Linked DNA regions of Cricetulus griseus. The protein of the gene in region 1 interacts with the protein of each later gene in a biochemical or structural test. Links are inferred from orthologs where the notes say so. Each region holds a gene or a part of one and is shown on either strand. Other genes may lie near its edges.

The links.
Region 2: the proteins of Mavs (region 1) and Irf3 form a complex in vitro, tested with the Homo sapiens proteins (2 studies listed by BioGRID). The link is inferred for Cricetulus griseus from reciprocal best matches to the Homo sapiens genes MAVS and IRF3.
Region 3: the proteins of Mavs (region 1) and Rnf5 form a complex in vitro, tested with the Homo sapiens proteins (2 studies listed by BioGRID, with this or other methods). The link is inferred for Cricetulus griseus from reciprocal best matches to the Homo sapiens genes MAVS and RNF5.
Region 4: of the proteins of Mavs (region 1) and Trim31, one has a biochemical effect on the other in vitro, tested with the Homo sapiens proteins (2 studies listed by BioGRID). The link is inferred for Cricetulus griseus from reciprocal best matches to the Homo sapiens genes MAVS and TRIM31.
Region 5: the proteins of Mavs (region 1) and Map1lc3a form a complex in vitro, tested with the Homo sapiens proteins (2 studies listed by BioGRID and IntAct, with this or other methods). The link is inferred for Cricetulus griseus from reciprocal best matches to the Homo sapiens genes MAVS and MAP1LC3A.

Annotation. Positions count from the first base shown.
Region 1 is NC_048599.1:47,325,307-47,328,106, forward strand, and holds the end of Mavs (mitochondrial antiviral-signaling protein), read right to left. Parts: intron 2,096-2,800; coding exon 1,667-2,095; 3' UTR 533-1,666; downstream 1-532.
Region 2 is NC_048599.1:153,883,837-153,887,988, reverse strand, and holds the start of Irf3 (interferon regulatory factor 3), read right to left. Parts: upstream 2,891-4,152; 5' UTR 2,640-2,890; intron 1,969-2,639; 5' UTR 1,934-1,968; coding exon 1,676-1,933; intron 518-1,675; coding exon 346-517; intron 256-345; coding exon 185-255; intron 133-184; exon of another isoform or gene 38-132; coding exon 1-37. Other genes in the region: Bcl2l12 (bcl-2-like protein 12), read left to right, coding at 3,584-3,690, 3,853-3,995.
Region 3 is NW_023276806.1:231,214,278-231,218,480, reverse strand, and holds the start of Rnf5 (E3 ubiquitin-protein ligase RNF5), read left to right. Parts: upstream 1-1,342; 5' UTR 1,343-1,420; coding exon 1,421-1,560; intron 1,561-3,958; coding exon 3,959-3,977; intron 3,978-4,185; coding exon 4,186-4,203. UniProt on the Homo sapiens protein: Membrane-bound E3 ubiquitin-protein ligase that mediates ubiquitination of target proteins. May function together with E2 ubiquitin-conjugating enzymes UBE2D1/UBCH5A and UBE2D2/UBC4.
Region 4 is NW_023276806.1:228,838,693-228,842,304, forward strand, and holds part of Trim31 (E3 ubiquitin-protein ligase TRIM31), read right to left. Parts: intron 2,671-3,612; coding exon 2,648-2,670; intron 2,352-2,647; coding exon 2,236-2,351; intron 1,100-2,235; coding exon 1,025-1,099; intron 145-1,024; coding exon 103-144; intron 1-102.
Region 5 is NC_048599.1:24,365,371-24,369,099, reverse strand, and holds Map1lc3a (microtubule-associated proteins 1A/1B light chain 3A), read left to right. Parts: upstream 1-1,402; 5' UTR 1,403-1,663; coding exon 1,664-1,703; intron 1,704-2,010; coding exon 2,011-2,066; intron 2,067-2,150; coding exon 2,151-2,257; intron 2,258-2,525; coding exon 2,526-2,688; 3' UTR 2,689-3,129; downstream 3,130-3,729. Other genes in the region: Pigu (phosphatidylinositol glycan anchor biosynthesis class U protein precursor), read right to left, coding at 3,610-3,723. UniProt on the Homo sapiens protein: Ubiquitin-like modifier involved in formation of autophagosomal vacuoles (autophagosomes). While LC3s are involved in elongation of the phagophore membrane, the GABARAP/GATE-16 subfamily is essential for a later stage in autophagosome maturation.

The DNA.
Region 1 (2,800 bases):
GAAGTTTGCCTTGAAATTCAGAAAGTACAGGTCATTAGGTCATTTTTCCCTAGGACATGCAAGGAAGATTGTGATAGCCACCCCAATCCCTAATGCCTCTAAGGTTTATGTTCACAACAGAGCTGAGATAGAGTTGGCTCCATGCCTATCCCTTGTCCAGCAAAGGGTACCTTTAAAAACCCATGCGCATACCCTCGATATGTCTCATTGTATTTCTTTTCTTTTCTGGAGACAGGATCTCACTGTGCAGCTCTCGCTGTCCTGGAACTTGCTCTGGAGACCAGGCTGGCCCTAAACTCACAGAGATTCACCTACCTCTGCCTCCCGAGTGCTGGGACTAAAGCTGTGCACTACCAAAATTGGCCTAAACCTACCTCATTGTCTGATGTGACTAAACTTCCTGCCCATGGAAGAAAACAGAATATGCTAGCACCTGTCTCTAACTGTGAAGCCAAGAGACCCAGCACCTTTCCATTTAAAAGTCATAACATGAGGAATTGGATACCAACTCCTAAGAAATGCAGAACTCACAGGTTTTCACAGATAAACTTTTAATTTAATTATCTTGATAACATTAGAACACATTAGCACATATGTATGCATATTTGCCGCATCTCACAGGAGAGAAAATTGAAGCCCAGAGGTGCACACTTTGCCAGAGATCACAGGGCCAGAGAGACAGAAGCACTATGTAGGCCAAAGCTGTTCTCTCAGAAGCAAAGAGGGTAACATTACTACCATGTACTCTGCCTCTCAAGCTCACCTTAGTTCAACCAGGCTGGGCAGGAGTGTAATTACTTGGTAGTCACACCCTCTGGGCTAGGCACTATGTAAATATCTATGTTCTTCAGTCTCAGAAAAGCCCAGTGAAAGGGTTCACTGTCCACACTGGGAAAAAAGACTACAGAAGCTAAACATCTGCTAAAGCCAGAGAAAGCTTAGAACTGAAATTCAAACCCAGCCTGAGCTCTGCCCACTAGGTATTCCATCATCCAGTGTAGGAGACTAAAGAGAATGGAGACCAGGAGGGAGGCGGTGAAGAGGTGGAGTAAGGAGGCTGGAGCAGGGCTCCTAGTGTCTTTCTCAGGCCTGGCAGCTGCTTCTGGCTTTCTCAGAGTCCACAGGGAACCTCCAGACCTTCCCTTAGGGTTGCCTGACTGTGGAGGGGGACCAGAGAGACAGGACTTAAACAAAGCTCCCTAGAAACCAGCCACTCTGCTGCAGGCTCTAGTACCGAGGCCTTAGGCCAGGCTGCTGGTGGAAGGCACACGATGTTACGGGAGCTCTCACCAATACACCCGTGCTTGTGTTTCAAAAGACCTGGGCAGGATGAGAGGCTCTGTCAACAGAAGTGTGATACCTCCCCATCTTCAGGCTTCAGCCAACAGGGATGACGTTGGTGGGGACACCTCCTTAGGAGCACATAGCACAAAATCCTAAACCGCCATGTGGGCAGGCCAGAAGCAGTGGAGGTAATCCAGTGCCCCAAAGAGCTAAAGACCAGAAGATGTCATGAACTAGGATGGAAAGAATGTCTCTCCCCTACCCCACAGATGGCTTGATGGACCTCACCATCTCTAAGTTCCCCTGACTTAGCCTCCACCAGTCCGAGCCTAGAGACCATGCTTGGCAGAACTGGGCAAGTGCGTGGCACACAGCTGAATCTTCATTGGGCCAGGTGCCTACTACGGTACAGCATCACTCCCAGGAATGCAGCCAAGAGTGCACCAGTTGCCCCGAGCCACTTAGCCCAGGATATTTGACTGACACAAAGCTCTTCAACTTCTGGGGACTCCGGGATAGCTAGTGGCCCAGGGTTTCCCACCAGAAGGTCAGCACTGGGGTCTTCATCCACCTGGATCCTAAAGGACGAATATTCATTCTCCTCTGGACCATGATTGGGTTCGGAGCCCAAGGAGCTGCTAGGGCTGATGGCAAGGTCCATAGAGCATCCTGAGAATGGCTCGTCCACCTGGGACAACAGTGCACCTGGTTTGCCCATCTCTGGCCCAGAGTGCAAGCTCCTGGAACTGATATCTGGTCTGGGCAAGCTGCTTCTAGTGGTGACTGTGCTTGCTGGAGGCTCTAGGGTCTCCTGGAAACACAAGGAGAATGTTGGAAGGGATTCGGATGACAGGGAGACAAACTTGGTTGTGTGGCCAGGGCATGAACTAGCATCCCACAATAGCTCAGACCACCCTCTCTTGGAGGTTCAACTCATCAGTGATACACACACAGATGGGAGGGAAGTGACCAAGACCCTGCAGTAAGCCTTCCAGAGCAGCCCTCTCCCACTCACTGAGCTGCTGTGAGCATCACTGCTAGGGAGCCCTTGCTGGGGTGTGACCCATCTTACACTACCTGGGCCTGAGAGTCACAGGGCAGCCCAAGAATCCAAGGCTTGTGAACTTGGTTCCTTTAGGGTAAACAGGCCTTGGGGGAAGTAGCTGTAGGGGTCACTGAGTTAGAGTAGCTGCTCCAAGCTAGATGCTTGAGACCACTGTTCAATGAACAAGGCACATGAGCCATCAAGTTCATCCCTCACTACTTCATCTACGAAATGGTACTGCTTAACTGGGGGCTCTGAGCTCCAAGTGAGTTAATGTACGTGTCAGTGGGGGTGGTCCCATGCCCCACTCTGCCGAAGGTCTATCATGCCTCCTAGAAAACAAGGGGTAAGTGCTGGATGAGGCTGATTCCCCTCGGTCCCAACACCTTGAAGAACCAGACCAGAGACAGAACAGAGACTAAAAGGGTCAGAGGGCAGGGCAGAGGACCAGCTGTCTTGGCAAAGTGGACT
Region 2 (4,152 bases), about 110 Mb from region 1:
CCAAGATCATGCCATCCAGTAATTCCAAGAGGTCTTCCTGAAGGAAGCAATAGCTGCTGGAGTCTAGTCAACAGCTTCAGCCGGCTCAAGAGGGCAGCAGACTGGTGAAGGAGTGGAGGGTGAAAGCTGGGGCTGGGGAGGACAGACAGGGCAAGGATGAGGTACAGGACTGGTTCCTCCTCACCTGGGGATCAGACAGACTGCTTTTGCCATTGGTATCAGGAGAGGTGTCCAGATGTACAAAGTCTCTTGCTGCTGTTCAGAGAAAGGGTAAGTAAAATGAAGGGCAGAGGGCCTCCTGATCCCAAGGTTTTTATGATCCCAAGCCAGCCTTGTTACACACACCTGGAGTCACAAACTCATACACTTTATGAGGATCAAAAGGGTCCTTGCTCTTGTCATCAGCTAATCGCAACACTTCTTTCCGGTTCAGGGCTGACCGGAAGTTCCTCTTCCAGGTTGACAGGTCTGGCTTATCCTTTCCTGGGGTGTAGGCACCACTGGCTTCGGCCCAGGCCTGACAAACCAGTGATTCCAGAATAGGAGGGGAAACGACTTAGACTCTGCCTTTAGGTCCTGACACCTCCCACCATGTTCCATCTTGTGGTTTGAGACTGGGCCCCTACACCTTCCATCCTCATCTTTATCTACTATTTCCTGCACCAAAAGAAATCCTTTTTAACCTGGCAGTGGTGGCGCATGCCTTTAATCCTCAGCATTTGGGAGGCAGAGGCAGGCAGATCTCTGTGAGTTGGAGACCAGCCTGGTCTACAAGAGCTAATTCCAGGACAGCCTCCAAAGCCACAGAGAAACCCTGTCTTGAAAAACAAAATCCTTTTTGGTTTTGAAACAGGGTTTCTTACACAGCTGAACTCCTGCTGATGCCTCCAGAGTGCTAGGATTACAAACTGTGCCACCTTCTCAGCCTTCAAGCCTTTTTTTTTTTTTTTGTTGGGGGGCGGTTTGAGACAGGGTTTTTCTGTATTGCTTTGGAGGCTGTCTTGGAACTAGCTCTTGTAGACCAGGCTGGCTTCAAACTCACAGAGATCTGCCTGCCTGCCTCCCGAGTGCTGGGATTAAAGGTGTGTATCACCAACGCCCGGCTCCAGTCTCTCATTCTATTACTACCTCTAGTCCATGCTATGTCAATGACTCCATCCATAAGGCATTCTCAGACCTTAAGATTTAAGGGTTCTAAAATCAAGAGCCCACCCCCAAAGATCTCCCATCCTCTGCAGCTGTAATTATCAACCTTCTTAATACTGCAGCCTTTTAATACAGTTCCTGCTGTAGTGACCCCAACCATAAAATGATTGTCGTTACTACTTAATAACTGTAGTTTGCTACTGTTATGAATCGTAATATAAATATCTGATCTGGCCGGGTGTTGGTGGTGCACGCCTTTAATCCCAACACTCGGGAGGCAGAGGCAGGCGGATCTCTGTGAGTTCGAGACCAGCCTGGTCTACAAGAGCTAGTTCCAGGACAGCCTCCAAAGCCACAGAGAAACCCTGTCTCGAAAACCCAAAAAAAAAAAAAAAAAAAATCTGATCTGAGACCCTCAAGTTGAGAAACACTGCTATAGCCGGTCCTTAAGCAATCCAAACTTAATTTCCGGGTTATAGTCTTGTAATCTGCTGATCCGTTCCTGTCTATCCCTCCCAGTCCTACCCACCTTCATTAGCAAGACCCCGCCCCTGCCTAGCCACGCCCAGGAACGCCTCTCCAAAGTCTTCCAAAGTCTTTCAAAGTCTTTGGCCCCCAGCACCTGGAAGATGCCAAAGTCAGCCATCTGGGCGTCCTGCCGCAGGCCATGCTTCCAGGGGATCCGGAACCGAGTGCGGCTCTCATCCAGCCAGGCCACGCCTTTCAGCTGCCCCAGGTCCAGCTGCGACACCAGCCAGGGCAAGATCCGCGGTTTCGGGGTTCCCATGCTCGGGCCTGCGCACACAGGGCAGTTCCTAAAGCCTGCGTGTCAAGGGGCAAACGCACTGAAACCTCCTTGACCCGTCACGGCGCAAATCTTTCACTCATGCTTTCGTGGGGGCACAAACGGAAAAGCCCTTCCGCCCTTTCATAGCCAGTGGGGCCGTCTTCGGTAGAAACTCTGTACCTACCCATCAGTTCCTTCTCTGTTAGCCAAAGCAGGTACCCCGCTTCTAGGGTGGAGCCCTCTTTCCCTAGTCTTTCCAAGACTGACTGCTCCCTCACCCACAGTTCCCTTGCACCGAAAACCCTGGCTTATTTCCAGAGTATTCTCTCAAGTGCAGTCGCCTGTTTCCAGGCTTCTTCTATTTTGATTTTTCTATATTCTTTTTATGGATGCTTTGAGACAGGGTCTTAGTACGTAGCATAGGCTGGTCTTCAACTGCAACCCAAACTGGCCTGGGACTCTCTGTGTGGCCCAAGCTGGCCTCGGATTCCACTGTAAACAAAGGTAGCCTCAAACTTATCCAGGAGCCCAGGCTAGTCTGCAGCTCATCCTGAGGTCCAGACTGGCCTTGAATTTCCAGCAGTATCGCTACCTTCAGCCCGAGTGCTGAGAGACTGCAGGCCTGCGTCTTCATCGCGCGGCCCTTTGGTTCTCGGTAGCCGAGCTCCTGAGGCCGCCACCCTCCCGATTCTTCCGCGTTACCTACCGGGGAGGAATCGCGCGCTCGTGGGGCGCCGGGGCCAACACTGGCTTCAGGGCTCCCAGTGGTTCTGAGTCTCGCAGCCACGCACCCTTCCCCTCCTGTCAGCTAAGCCTCCGAGCGCTGGGACTGTCTTTTCTAACGATATTTTGGGATGAAAACAATTTTCTCATAATTTGGGTAAGAAACGCAAAAGCCGAGAGAGCACCTCTGGGCGCCACCCAACTCTCTCAATGCCCTTTTTTGGACTTCCGCCCATAGGCATGCTGGGAACGCCATATGCAAATGAGACTGCAACACAACGCCACGCCCCTTCAACGTTGGGGCGGTTAGCAGGTCGGCCCAGTGCGCAGGCGCGGGAAAGTTGAATTTACCAAGAAAAGTTTGATGAAATTGAGTGAAACCGTGGGAGCCGGCGCCGGCGCGACTAGAGCAGAGCCCCAAACCAGGTGAGCGGGGTGCCAGGGAGGGACTAGAACAGAAAGGGAAGGGAACCAGTTGCACGAGCGGCCACAGTCAGTCCTGCCTCTCTGAGTCCGAGCACCCAGAGGCTCTGGTGCTAGCCGAAGGTAGTTGGAACTACATCTCCCAGCAGGCTGCTCGGCGAAAAAGCGGGGAAATCGGGCCAATGTGTACCGCCGAGCGTACTGGGATTGGTAGTTCTCTATCCCCTAAGGACTTAGATACCTGGATGAGTGCATCTTTCAGCATTCAGGGCTGAGAGTTCCAAACCCCATTCCCTCTCCTGGATGTAGGAGTTTAAGCACTCAGCTACCTCCTGTCTTAAACCCTTCTTTCTCCAGCCCCCTTTTCCTCCACGGAATCAACTCTGTCTCACTGACCAGCCTTCTGTCTCCCGAGTTCTGGCACCCTGTTCATTCAGGGACTCAGAAGTTTGAGCTTGTCACCACACTTGGGTTCATGCTCTGTTTTCTCCCTCAGGTGCCTCCATGGCCGGCTCTGAAGATCTGGGGCTCCGAGAGGACACACTTAGGGTTTTGGCTGCCTTCCTTAGGCGCGGTGAAGCTGCTGGGTCCCCTGTTCCAACTCCACCCAGGTGAGTGAGTGTCCATTCCCCCAGGGCCAGCTTTTGACTGGAAGGTCTTCCTGAGTCTTGGTACTGGTCCCAGCCTGTCTCCTTTCAGATCTGACCCCATATGCCTATCTCGAGTTTGAAGAGTGATCTTCCATGGGGTCACTCCGAGGTTCTTGTCCCCAGGAACCCTGCCCAAGAGGAGCCAACAGATTTCCTGAGCCGCCTCCGAAGATGTCTTCCTTGTCCCCTTGGGAGAGGAGCCCCTCCCCTGGAGTCCTCTCGGCCCTGCTTCCTTCCCCTACGCCCCTGCTATGGCTCCCAGCCTGGTAAGAGATTATCCAGATCACCTGTGAAGCTTTAATGGGTAGGAGCTTTGGTTAGGAAAATCCAGACAGTACCTGTTGCAAGGTGAACACTGCTCAGTTTTTTTTTTTTTTTTTTTTTTATTTTGGCTTGTTTTTTTTTTTATTAAATTATTAATAT
Region 3 (4,203 bases), on another chromosome or scaffold:
TCAGTCAGTGTGTCCGACCCCGCTGGCTCCCCGAAGCCTGTGCTGAGCGCCAGGCTCTCACCTGTCGGGGTTTGGAGCCACGGGCGCTTTCTATCGTGTGTGTCTCCCGCCCCGGGACACCTTTGCCCTGGATGAGTCCACACGGCGTGGTGGGAGGACTGTTACCTAATTCTGCGCCTTGGACCACACACTTTGGGTCACTGATTGTTGGAAGGGCCCCGGCTCTCGGAGCTGTGCGGCCAGGAAAAAGATCCAAAACTCTGCAGGGCAAGTGACAAGGAAGGGGCGGACCTACTCCATCCTGCCGCGGGCCACCCGAGGGGAGGGCCGGGCCCCCGGACGCCCACTCTCGGACGGTGGCGCCGGCCCTCCCGGGGTCACATCACACCGGGGGCGGCTGTGGCGGTCACCTAGAGAGGCCGAGCCGTCCAACCGCGGGAGCCGGGCTAACACCAGCGCGGCGCGCCGACGGCCGCACCATCCACTCGCCGGGCGAACCCCAGCTCTGCTCCCTGCTTGCCGAGGAGGGCGGGGCGGACCCGAGCGCTGCCCTCTGCGTCACCCAGGGAGCCCGGGGCCATCTTGAACCCCGCGACCCCGCTACCGCCGCCCTCTTCTCCCGAGCTCAGCACCGGCTCCTCTGCAGGCCTCGGCCAATCAGCGGCGAAGCAAACCGCCCAATCAAGCCGGGAGGGAGCCCCCGTCCGAGGACCCGGATGAGGCCGAGCCGAGGCCTTCGAACCCTCGGCCCCCCGCCAGCGGCGGCGCGGTTGCCATGGCGACGGGATGGAGTTGAACGGGGGGGGGGGGGGGGGACCGCCGGCGACTCCGCTCTCGCCGGGTTGGCGCGCTCGCCGCCCCTGCCCTCCCACCCCGTCCGCCTACTGCGCATGCTCGTTTCCCGTAGCCACGCCCCCCGTCGTGCCAGCCAATCATCGGACTTGGAACCGTACGCTCTGAAGTCCAATAGGAACCCGGACATTCTTCGAAAGCGGAAGAGAAGGAAAGAGAGCGGCTCCTAGTGGGCGAGTTCTGCCGGCCCGAGCCAATCCCGTCAGAGCTGTGGCTTTGACGGGCAGCTGCGTAAACGAATGAAGACCTCCCTGGCCGAGCTCATTATTACCAATCCCTCGGCACCGCATAGTGACTGAGGCTTCGCCAGCCAATCATCATCGTGCGAGGGCGGGACCCACACGTCCTTTTCCCGCCTCCGCCCTGTAGCTCAATCCCGTCCTTTGCCTCCTGCATGATTGGCAGGCGCCTCGACCAATAGTCATGAGAAAGCCTTGAAGTCTGCCCAACGACCGTGGGCAGGAGGCGGGCCTGGCGTGCTGGGGTGTGTGTGTGCGCGCTGTGTGAGCGTCTATGTGTGTGTGTCTGGGGGTGCCGAGGGGGACGTGGGGGCGAAGCACAACCGGCCATGGCAGCAGCGGAGGACGAGGACGGGGGCCCCGAAGGCCCAAACCGCGAGCGGGGCGGGGCGGGCGCGACCTTCGAATGTAATATTTGTCTGGAGACCGCTCGCGAGGCTGTGGTCAGCGTGTGCGGACACCTGTACTGGTGAGGGCCGCGCGGAGCGCGGGAGGGAGGGAGGGTGGGTGTGCAGAGGGCAGAGGGCAGAGGGCAGAGGGCAGCCGTCCGTCACACACGGGCACAGACACAGACACGCACACACGTACACATATATACATACATACACACAGACACGCACACACATATATACATACATACACACAGACACGCTCACAGACACAGACACGCACACACGTACACATATATACACACATACACACAGACACGCACACAGACACAGACACGCTCACAGACACAGACACGCACACACATATACATACACACACATACACACAGACACGCACACACTTATATACATACATACACACAGACACGCACACACATATACATACACACACACGCACACACTTATATACATACATACACGTACACACAGACATGCACACAGACACAGACACGCACACACGTACACTTACTTATATACATACATACACACAGACACGCTCACACGTATACATACATACACGTACACACAGACACGCACACACATACATACACGTACACACAGACACGCTCACACGTATATACATACACACACAGACACGCACACACTTATATACATACATACACATACACACAGACACGCACACAGACACAGACACGCACACACGTACACATATATACATACATACACGTACACACAGACACGCTCACACATATATACATACATACACACAGACACACAGACACATACACATATGTACACATACACACAGACACGCACACACATATATACATACATACATGTACACACAGACACGTTCACACATACATACATACACAGACACAGACACACATACATACACACAGACACGCACACACATATATACATACACACACAGACACGCTCACACATACACGTACACATACATACATACACATACATACACAAGACACACAGACACACACTCACAGACACACATATACATACACACACAGACACGCTCACACACATATATACACATACAGACACACGCTCACACAGACACACACTCACACACACCACACAGGCGCACACCCGGGAGGCCTGAGGTGGGCACTGGGGTCCCGGTGTGGGGAAAGCAGGGTGTCGGGAGGGGGTGGGGTGGGAGCGGGGACGCTGAGGTGTGGCCGAGCCCGAGGTTGACACAAACACACAGGACAGACTTTCCGGTCAGGGGAGCTGCTCCTCGTCAGAGGACGGCCGGACACAGGGACTGTGTGTGTGTCTGTGTGCTTGTGTGACAGAGTGTGTGCGTACGTGAGAGGGGTGTGAAGCCGGAGGGCAGAGGCCCTGTGAAGGGCAGACAGACAGAGGGACTTTGGCGCCTGATGTGACAGGAGGAGCAGCAGGGCTGTAAGGGAGGACGGAGCGGGGGCTGAAGAGAACCCTGTTGAGTTGGGAAATCAGGGTAAGAGGCAGAAAATAGACAGGCTGAGGCAGGGAGGTGCGCGCGCGTGTGTCACTGTGTGTGTGTCAGTGTGTGTGTGTGTATGTGCATGTGTGTGTGTGCGTGTGTCAGTGTGTGTGTCAGTGTGTGTCAGTGTGTGTGTGTATGTGCATGTGTGTCACTGTGTGTGTGTCAGTGTGTGTGTGTCAGTGTGTGTATGTGCGTGTGTGTGTGCGTGTGTGTGTGACACTGTGTGTGTGTCTGTGTGTGTGCGCGCGCGTGTGTGTCACTGTGTGTCACTGTGTGTGTCAGTGTGTGTGCGTGTGTGTCAGTGTGTGTGTCAGTGTGTGTGTCTGTGTGTGTGTGCGTGTCTGTCAGTGTGTGTGTCACTGTGTGTGTGTCACTGTGTGTCAGTGTGTGTCACTGTGTGTGTGTCAGTGTGTGTGTGTGTGTCACTGTGTGTCACTGTGTGTCACTGTGTGTGTCAGTGTGTGTGCGTGTGTGTCAGTGTGTGTGAGTGTCAGTGTGTGTGTCTGTGTGTGTGTGCGTGTCTGTCAGTGTGTGTGTCACTGTGTGTGTGTCACTGTGTGTGTCAGTGTGTGTCACTGTGTGTGTCAGTGTGTGTGCGTGTGTGTCACTGTGTGTGTCACTGTGTGTGTGTCAGTGTGTGTGTGTGTGTGTCACTGTGTGTGTGCAGACAGAGGGAGGGAGGGAGCAGAAACAATGTGTTGCACGGGAGAAGCCTGGGGCCCTGGGGACGAGGGCTGTTGTCGGGAGGGCTGTTGTCAGGAGGACGGTTGTTGGGAGAGCGGTTGTCGGAGAGCGGTTGTCGGCAGGATGGTTGTCGGGAGGACGGTTGTCAGGATGCCCTCGGTGACCGCAGGCTGTGGAGGCAGAAACAGCCGCAGTACCGGGGCGGCTGCTGCAGTGGGCACAGGGTGCCGGCTGTTTTCTGCCATGTGATGAGTTTTGTTTCTCTCCTCCTCCGTGTGCAGCTGGCCCTGTCTTCATCAGGTATGTGCTCCTGTGCTCCTGACATGGGCGGGGCGCGGGGTATGTGCTCCTGTGCTCCTGACATGGGCAGGGAGGGCGGGGAGGGCGGGGAGGGCGGGGAGGGCTCGGGGTATGTGCTCCTGTGCTCCTGTGCTCCTGACATGGGCGGGGAGGGCGGGGAGGGCTCCACGACCTTCGTGTGTCTGCAAACACTTTGTCTTTCCCGCAGTGGCTGGAGACGCGGCCA
Region 4 (3,612 bases), on another chromosome or scaffold:
TCTGCTGTATCAGAGCTGTGAATAGACAGAACATTTGACCTGCAGACCTGGAGGCCCCTTGCTTCCCTACAGGAAGACCAGTGTGCCAGGCAGTATTCCTACCTGAGTTGTGCAAGTCTGAGTTATTCTTCTGTAACAGGTGCCCTAGAAATTGGAGAGAGAAAACAAATTTTAGGTTGATAGCAAGAGGTTATAAATTAAAAGGCATATTGAGGATGGCAGGCTGAACCTGACCTTTTTCCTAGCTACCCTCATAGCTGAACCACCTCAGATGACATCATTACAGGATATTGTCTCAGTGGGTCTCCTCCACTCCTCAGTTTTGCTGTGTAGTGATACATTGTCTGTAATCTAACAAATAAAGCTTGCCTGAAGATCAGAGTGCAGAGCTAAGCCACTAGTTAGCCACACACCTAGTTAAGAGCTAAGCCACTAGTTAGCCACACACACACACACACACACACACACACACACACACACTAAGTGCCACTAATTAGCCACACACCCAAGCCACTAGTTAGCCGTAGAGGACAAGCAGGGTGGCCACACCTTTAATCTCAGCACTCGGGAGGCAGAGGCAGATGGATCTCTGTTAGTTCAAGGCCACCAAGGGCTACATGAGAGTGAATCAGTCTAAAAGAGAAACAGAGCTCATACCAAGGTGATCTCAGCACTTGGGATCCCATGCCTTTAATCCCAGCACTAGGCAGGAATATAAGACAGGTGGAGACAGGAGTGTAGTGTATTCAGTCTGCAGTCATGCTGAGGACAGAATTACCCCTTTTGGCCCCAAGCCTTGGTAGAAATAAGAACTGTCTCGTGGCTGGCTGCTTTGCTTTTTCTGGTCTTTGGTTTGGTGTCACTCTGATTGGCTACACATAAAATCTAAAACAATTCTGTAAGTTTGTTCTTTATTGGTGTTCACCCACACTGGACCTTCCTCCCTCAGTCCTCCCCCTAAAGAGAGAACTCTTCCTCTTGTATTCTTCACTTTCCCCAAACAGCAGGGTTAGCACACACTTACATCTTTCCATCTCCTGTTTACTCAGGCTGTCCAGGAACGCGCTTTTATCTTTCTTCCCTTCAGTCTTCAGGTTGTCTACGAGGAGAGGGTGAAGGATATAGAGGCAACCAGGACCACACAGTGAATCCCTGATTGCTGATATGGGCAGGGAGAAGTGATATTGGTGTTCCTCTCATAGTCTCAGTGGACCAAGAAGGCAGCCAAACAGGGAGAGCTGCCCTAGGGTCTCCCTGAGGTGGTTGTCCAGTACAGCTCAGTCCAGAACAAAGGTATTAAGAGCCACAAACACGAGCCACTGAATTTTGAATTTTCTAGATACCATTTTGCAATCCTAAAAGATGCTGACACCCAGGAAGCTGATGCAGGAGGATGACAACTTTTGGGCTAGTCCACGGTATGTAGCGAGTTTCAGAGTCTGGGATATTTACACAGTGTCTCAAAAGGAAAGAAAAAGGGGGCTGGAGAGAGGCCTCAGTAGTTAAAAGCACCAGTGGACCCAGTCCGACTACCAGCACCCACTGGAACTCCAACCCCAGGGAGTCTGACAACCTCTTCTGACATCCATGGGCACCAGACAAGCACATGATACATGCATACACAACACCCATACAAATAAAATAAATAGAACTTTAAAAAAGAAATGAATTTAAATAGTGTTTTCTTCAGCTCAGAATGTTAAGAAACACTGTCATTTCAGCTTGTAGGATAAAGGCTTACTGCTACCAGGCACAGTGCTGGGTGCTGGAGTCCCAGATGCTTAGAAGGCTCAAATGGGAAGGCCATTGAACTCTTCCATAAGAGACTACCCTGGACAGTACTTCCGTTTGCTTTTGTTTTCATTATTATATCTTATGTTCTATTTTAATATTAAGCCTTTCAGAGTCAATGTTTATTCTTTACCTGCACTATGTGTGAATGCTGTAATTCTGGTGCCCAGGGGTACATGTGGCCAGCAGCTAACAAATTGGAAACATGCTTCTAGCCCCATGTTCACCACCTAGTAATCAAGGAAAAATTCCCAGAGAAGAAGTGCTTTGGCTTTGGGGCTGTAGCATGAGAAATTTCTGGATAATGATGCTTTGAAACTGCCCAGCTTTCAGCTTAGCTTCTGACAGGCTTAGGGGCTAGCACCAAGAGAGTTCAGGCAGCGTCTGGGGTGATGGAAAGAATCCTGAGGCAGATAAGCACAGGCAGTGGCAGCTACACCTCACCTTTTAATCCCTCCAGGCTTTTTATGATGACTGCATGTCTTGCTATTGCTTCCCTGGTTTTTCTCTCCAGGTCCTCAGGAACTGGGGTTGGATTGAGAAACTTAAATTCCACACTCCTGTGAAGATAATGTTGATCTGAGTGGTGAGTTCAGGGGACAGAGAGTGGGCAGCAAGGGTCTGGGAGGTGGTTTCTGGGGTAGAGCCAGGAAGCTGAGTGTCAGGAGGCCAGGATGGGAATATGGTGAAAATAAAAAAAGCTACTGTGCTGCTGTGGCCAGTTTGGTCTTCCCCATCTGCAGCCTAAGTCATTTATAGCAGAGTTATTGGGGGATGTGAACATATTTGGAAATAGGCTGAATGTTGTATGTGCAAGTGAACCAGAAAGCATGGTACACTGGGACGCCCATCATACCTGCTCAAGTTGTCTATGATGCCCTGGAAGAGAAAGAGAGAACTTATCAGAGCTTGCCAGAGTCACAGGTGCCAAAGAAGGGGTTCAGACTCAGCTAGAAGCAGAGTGAGGACACCCCAGTTTTCCGTCCTTTCTCTCTTCTGCCTGTTGTGTGAACATGCCTTTGTATGCATGTGTGTTTCTGTGTGTGAACATGCCTCTGTTTGCATGTGTGTTTCTGTGTGTGAACATGCCTCTATATATGTGTGTGCCTGTGTGCGTGTGCCTGTGTGTGTGTGTGCCGTGTGCTTGTATGGGTGTGTGTGTCCTAGCTGACCTTGAACTCTAGTGATCTAGGGAACCCTCCTACCTCTGGAGTGCTAGAATTACACGTGTGAGACACTGTGCCCAGCTGTTTGAGACAGTGTCTTGATCTTTGCTCATGTCAGCTTTGGACTAGCAGCAGTCCTCTTACCTCAGTGTCCTGAATTACAGGAGGGGTTTCAGTTCTCAACCTTCCTAATGCTGCTAGCCTTTAATATAGTTCCTTATGTTGTGGTGACCCACCCCCCACACCATAAAATTATTTTCATTGCTACATCATAACTGTAAATCTGATACTCTTATAACTTGGAATGAAAATATCTAATATTTTCCATAGTCTCGGGTGGCCCCTGTGAAAGAGTCAGTGGAACCCGCCCACAAGAGGGATCTAGCCACACAGGTTGAGAACTTCTGGGTTAGGTGAAGAAGAGTAGCAGTTGGTGGATTTGTTCCAGAAGGCAATAAAAAGTAGTAAAGGTCATTAGAGAGAACAGCACACTGTGTCAGAGATAGTATGAGTGGAGCCTTGTGGGGAATGACAGGCTTCCCTTTAAAACCTGGAGTGGAGCTCTATCAAAAGTGCTCACTTAACGTAGGAAAGATAAAGGTCGTGGATTCTATGATGGGGTCGGTGGGAGCCTCAGGGAAATAAATCCCTCAGG
Region 5 (3,729 bases), about 23 Mb from region 1:
TAGTAGTGAAGGTACTAAATAGGACTTAAGGCCATAATTCAGGAAACCTACTGTCCTACCCTAATTTGTGGGGGCTACATACTAGCTTAGCATTTGAGGGATATAAGGCCTGGCTGATGTCTGCAGGGGCAGCCTCTTTGATCTAACCTTGGAATTGAACTCAGGTCCTCGTGCTTGAGGGCAAACACTCTTGTCTACAGTGCCATATAGCTGCCTTCCTTTTACTGTTTGAAATATGTACCTGAACAAGCAGACAATAATATACTTCTTTAAGATTTTATTTATTTATCATGTATACAACATTCTGCTTCCATGTATATCTGCACACCAGCAGAGGGCATCAGATCTCATAACAGATGGTTGTGAGCCACCATGTGGTTGCTGGGAATTGAACTCAGGACCTCTGGAAGAGCAGTCGGTGCTCTTAACCTCTGAGCCATCTCTCCAGCCCAATAATATACTTTTAAACATATCCAGCTTCCTAGGACATACAAAAAAACAAAACAAAACAAAGCCGGGCAGTGGTGGCACAAGCCTTAATTCCAGGAGACAGAGGCTGAGGCAGAGGCAGGGGAATCTCTGTGTTTGAGGCCAGCCTGGTCTACAAAGTATGTTCAGGACAGCTAGGGCTGTTACACAGAGAGACCAATTTTGAAAGTTCTTTAGGAGCTGCCTCTCCGTGTCCATGCTCCCCACTTCCCATAAAGCCTGGGAAAATGAATTTAAGCCTTCCTCGAGGTAGGAAAGTACTGTTCCCTGCGTAACATTCCTAGACTATACTTCTTTCTAGCTTCTCAAAGGGCTCTACGTGTGAATTCTCAGTTCGTGTGTTGTCAATTCCGCATGTTCTCTATTGCCTGGTAAGCTGCTTCTGATACATCCTCCCATTCCGTGATTTTTCTCTCCTACTTTATCTACATCGCCTATTAACCCCACATCGGGAGACTATGCTTTTTACGGCTGATGCAGAAACTTTTTAAAGCCCGGCGGGGTGGGAGTGGGGAGCTGGAGCGTTAGTTAGCTCCACAGTTAAGAGCACTCGCTACTATTACAGAGGAGCTCGGTTCGGTTCCCAGCACCGCCAGTAACTCACTCCAGCCTCCGGAAATCCGACTTTGACCTCCTCGGGCACCCGCACTCGCGTCGTACACAGACACGTAAAACTTTTAAAAGCCGGGGCGTTCCACTCCCTCCCCGCCCGGTAGTAACCCGCCCGTCCTCCGTTACTACCTTTGATCTCTAAGTTCAGTGAAGGGGCAGTGTCAAGCGCTGGAGGGGACGACCAACCGGCTTTCCCCTCAGTCTGAGGAGCCAAGAGACAAGCCCGCCAGCCGTGACGTCACAGGACCGTGACGCGCCCGGAGCTCCGCCCCCTTGCGCCCTGCGCCGGGAATCCGGGCTGCCTGCGCCGTGGCGTCACAGGTCCGGGCAGGCGGGTTTTCCGTCGGCCCAATGGGAGCGGCGCGCCGGCCTCCCCTTTAAGGAATGTTGTGACCTGACGTCACCCAGGCGAGTTACCTCCCGCAGCCACCACCGCCAGGCTCAGCGCGAGCCCTGCAGCCCTTGAGCTCGAGCCCCGGAGTCCCCGGCGCACCGAACCGCAGCCACATCCCTGAGCCGCGCGCCCCGGAGCCCCGGCTGCGCGCCCCGCCGGGCCCGCGCCATGCCCTCAGACCGGCCTTTCAAGCAGCGGCGCAGCTTCGGTGAGGCCCTGGGGGCGAACTGCGAGCAGGGATCGAGGGATGGGGGTGCCAGCCGACCCCGATTGCCGCAGGTGACGTCAGCCCCGTGACGTCAGGCACCGGCCGGCCGGACCCCGGGTGGGGAGGCCGCAAGGCCTGGCAGGGTCGCCCGTCTCCCCACCGCGTCCCCGGTCGAGGGCTGTGGGGCCGACGGCCCCGGGGGCGGGCGCTGGGGCGGGGCGGGCCCGGAGCCGCCCCTCGGGGACGGCGAGGCGGAGTCGCGGGAGGCCTCAGCCCTGCCGGGCCTCACGCCGAGTGCTGTCCGCAGCTGACCGCTGTAAGGAGGTGCAGCAGATCCGCGACCAGCACCCCAGCAAGATCCCGGTGAGTCTCTAGCCCCCCCGGCCACGCCCTGTCCTGCCAGGCCCCGCCCCTGGCTCACGAGTCCCCCGCCCACTATGCTCCCAGGTGATCATCGAGCGCTACAAGGGTGAGAAGCAGCTGCCTGTCCTGGATAAGACCAAGTTTCTGGTCCCAGACCATGTTAACATGAGCGAGTTGGTCAAGATCATCCGGTGCGTGGGCAGCCTCCTGAAGCCCTTGGGTGGGGTCAGGGCCAGGTTCCACTCGGAAGGGGTGGAGTGGGGCAAGGGGACAGGATATAGGGCATCCAGCCCCTGTTCTAGGAGGCTGGACAAGGTCAAGGTCGGGGTTGGAGTGAACTTCTACAAAGGTGAGAGCGTCTAGCCCGGGCTGTGTTGGTTCAAAAGTGGAGATTCGGGAGGGACACCCAGGCCCCCAGCAGGCGACCTCCTCACCTGGCATGCCCTCCTGCCTCTGCAGGCGCCGCCTGCAGCTCAACCCCACGCAGGCCTTCTTCCTGCTGGTGAACCAGCACAGCATGGTGAGCGTATCCACGCCCATCGCTGACATCTACGAACAGGAGAAGGATGAAGACGGATTCCTCTACATGGTCTATGCCTCCCAAGAAACCTTTGGCTTCTGAGTCAGGAGGAGGGGTGGGGGATGGTTGGGGATTCTGGTCAAGCTTTCTCCAGGGAGGTCCTGGCTCCTAAGCTGAGCTATTTCATTCCCGAGTGGGTTAGGCAGAGATGTGAACTCCCTACCCCTCCCCTGGTGGGGGACACCAGCCAGCCTACCATGCTCTGGTGTAGGTCCTGCCAGTCACGTTAGGGTTGCTCCTCTGGGTACTGGCTCAGTTGGGAGTGGGTGGGGAACAGCACCCCTGCTGTGTGGTTTGTCTTTTTTTTTTTTTTTTTTTTTTTAGCCCCTTGCCTGTCTGCCCACCTGTCCCTTATCCACCTGAGGCATTTGCCTCCTGCCAGGACCTGCCCATCTCTGAAAGGCTGACCCCGTTGTCCTGACATGGTGTATGGATCTGTGGTCATTTCCTCAGCAAAATAAAGATTGCTTAGGCCTGCCTGGCCCTTTGCCTCCAGCTGCTTGTTTGGGAGTAGGGAGGGCTGCTAGGTGACCGTCTCCACATACTTGTGCCAGTCAGGACACAGGCTTGTGTTCTATGGACTTGGGTTTCCAAAAACCTACTTCTTAGTACAGGATACTCTGCAGTATTAGGGGCCAGATTCACCCCACTCCAGGAATAGATGGCATCAGAACAACAATGAAAAAACCCACACATTTATTAAGTAGCCACAACCTATAAAGCCCTGCTCACCTGCAGGTTTCCCCTTCCTTCCTGTGCAGTCACAAAGTGGGAGGTCCAAGTGGGGTGCTCCAAACTTCTCCCCCTGGGCCAGCTATGAGTCCCCTATGGTACCAGAGATTTGTAACCCTGGATTTGAACCTCTTCTGCCTGAGGACTCGCCTGCTGGCAACTCTGGATAAGGGACCTGGCGGGCTCCTGGCCCTTCCCCCTCTTGTCCATGCAGTTCTGTGCCAGCCAGGGCTACTTGAGCACAAGCATAGCCTCTGTGCCGTCCTTGGCAGTCAAATAGAGACCATGTGTGAGGTAATACTCCCGTCGCAGGAAGGCATAGAAGTAGTCAGAGATGAGCAGGATCTGGCA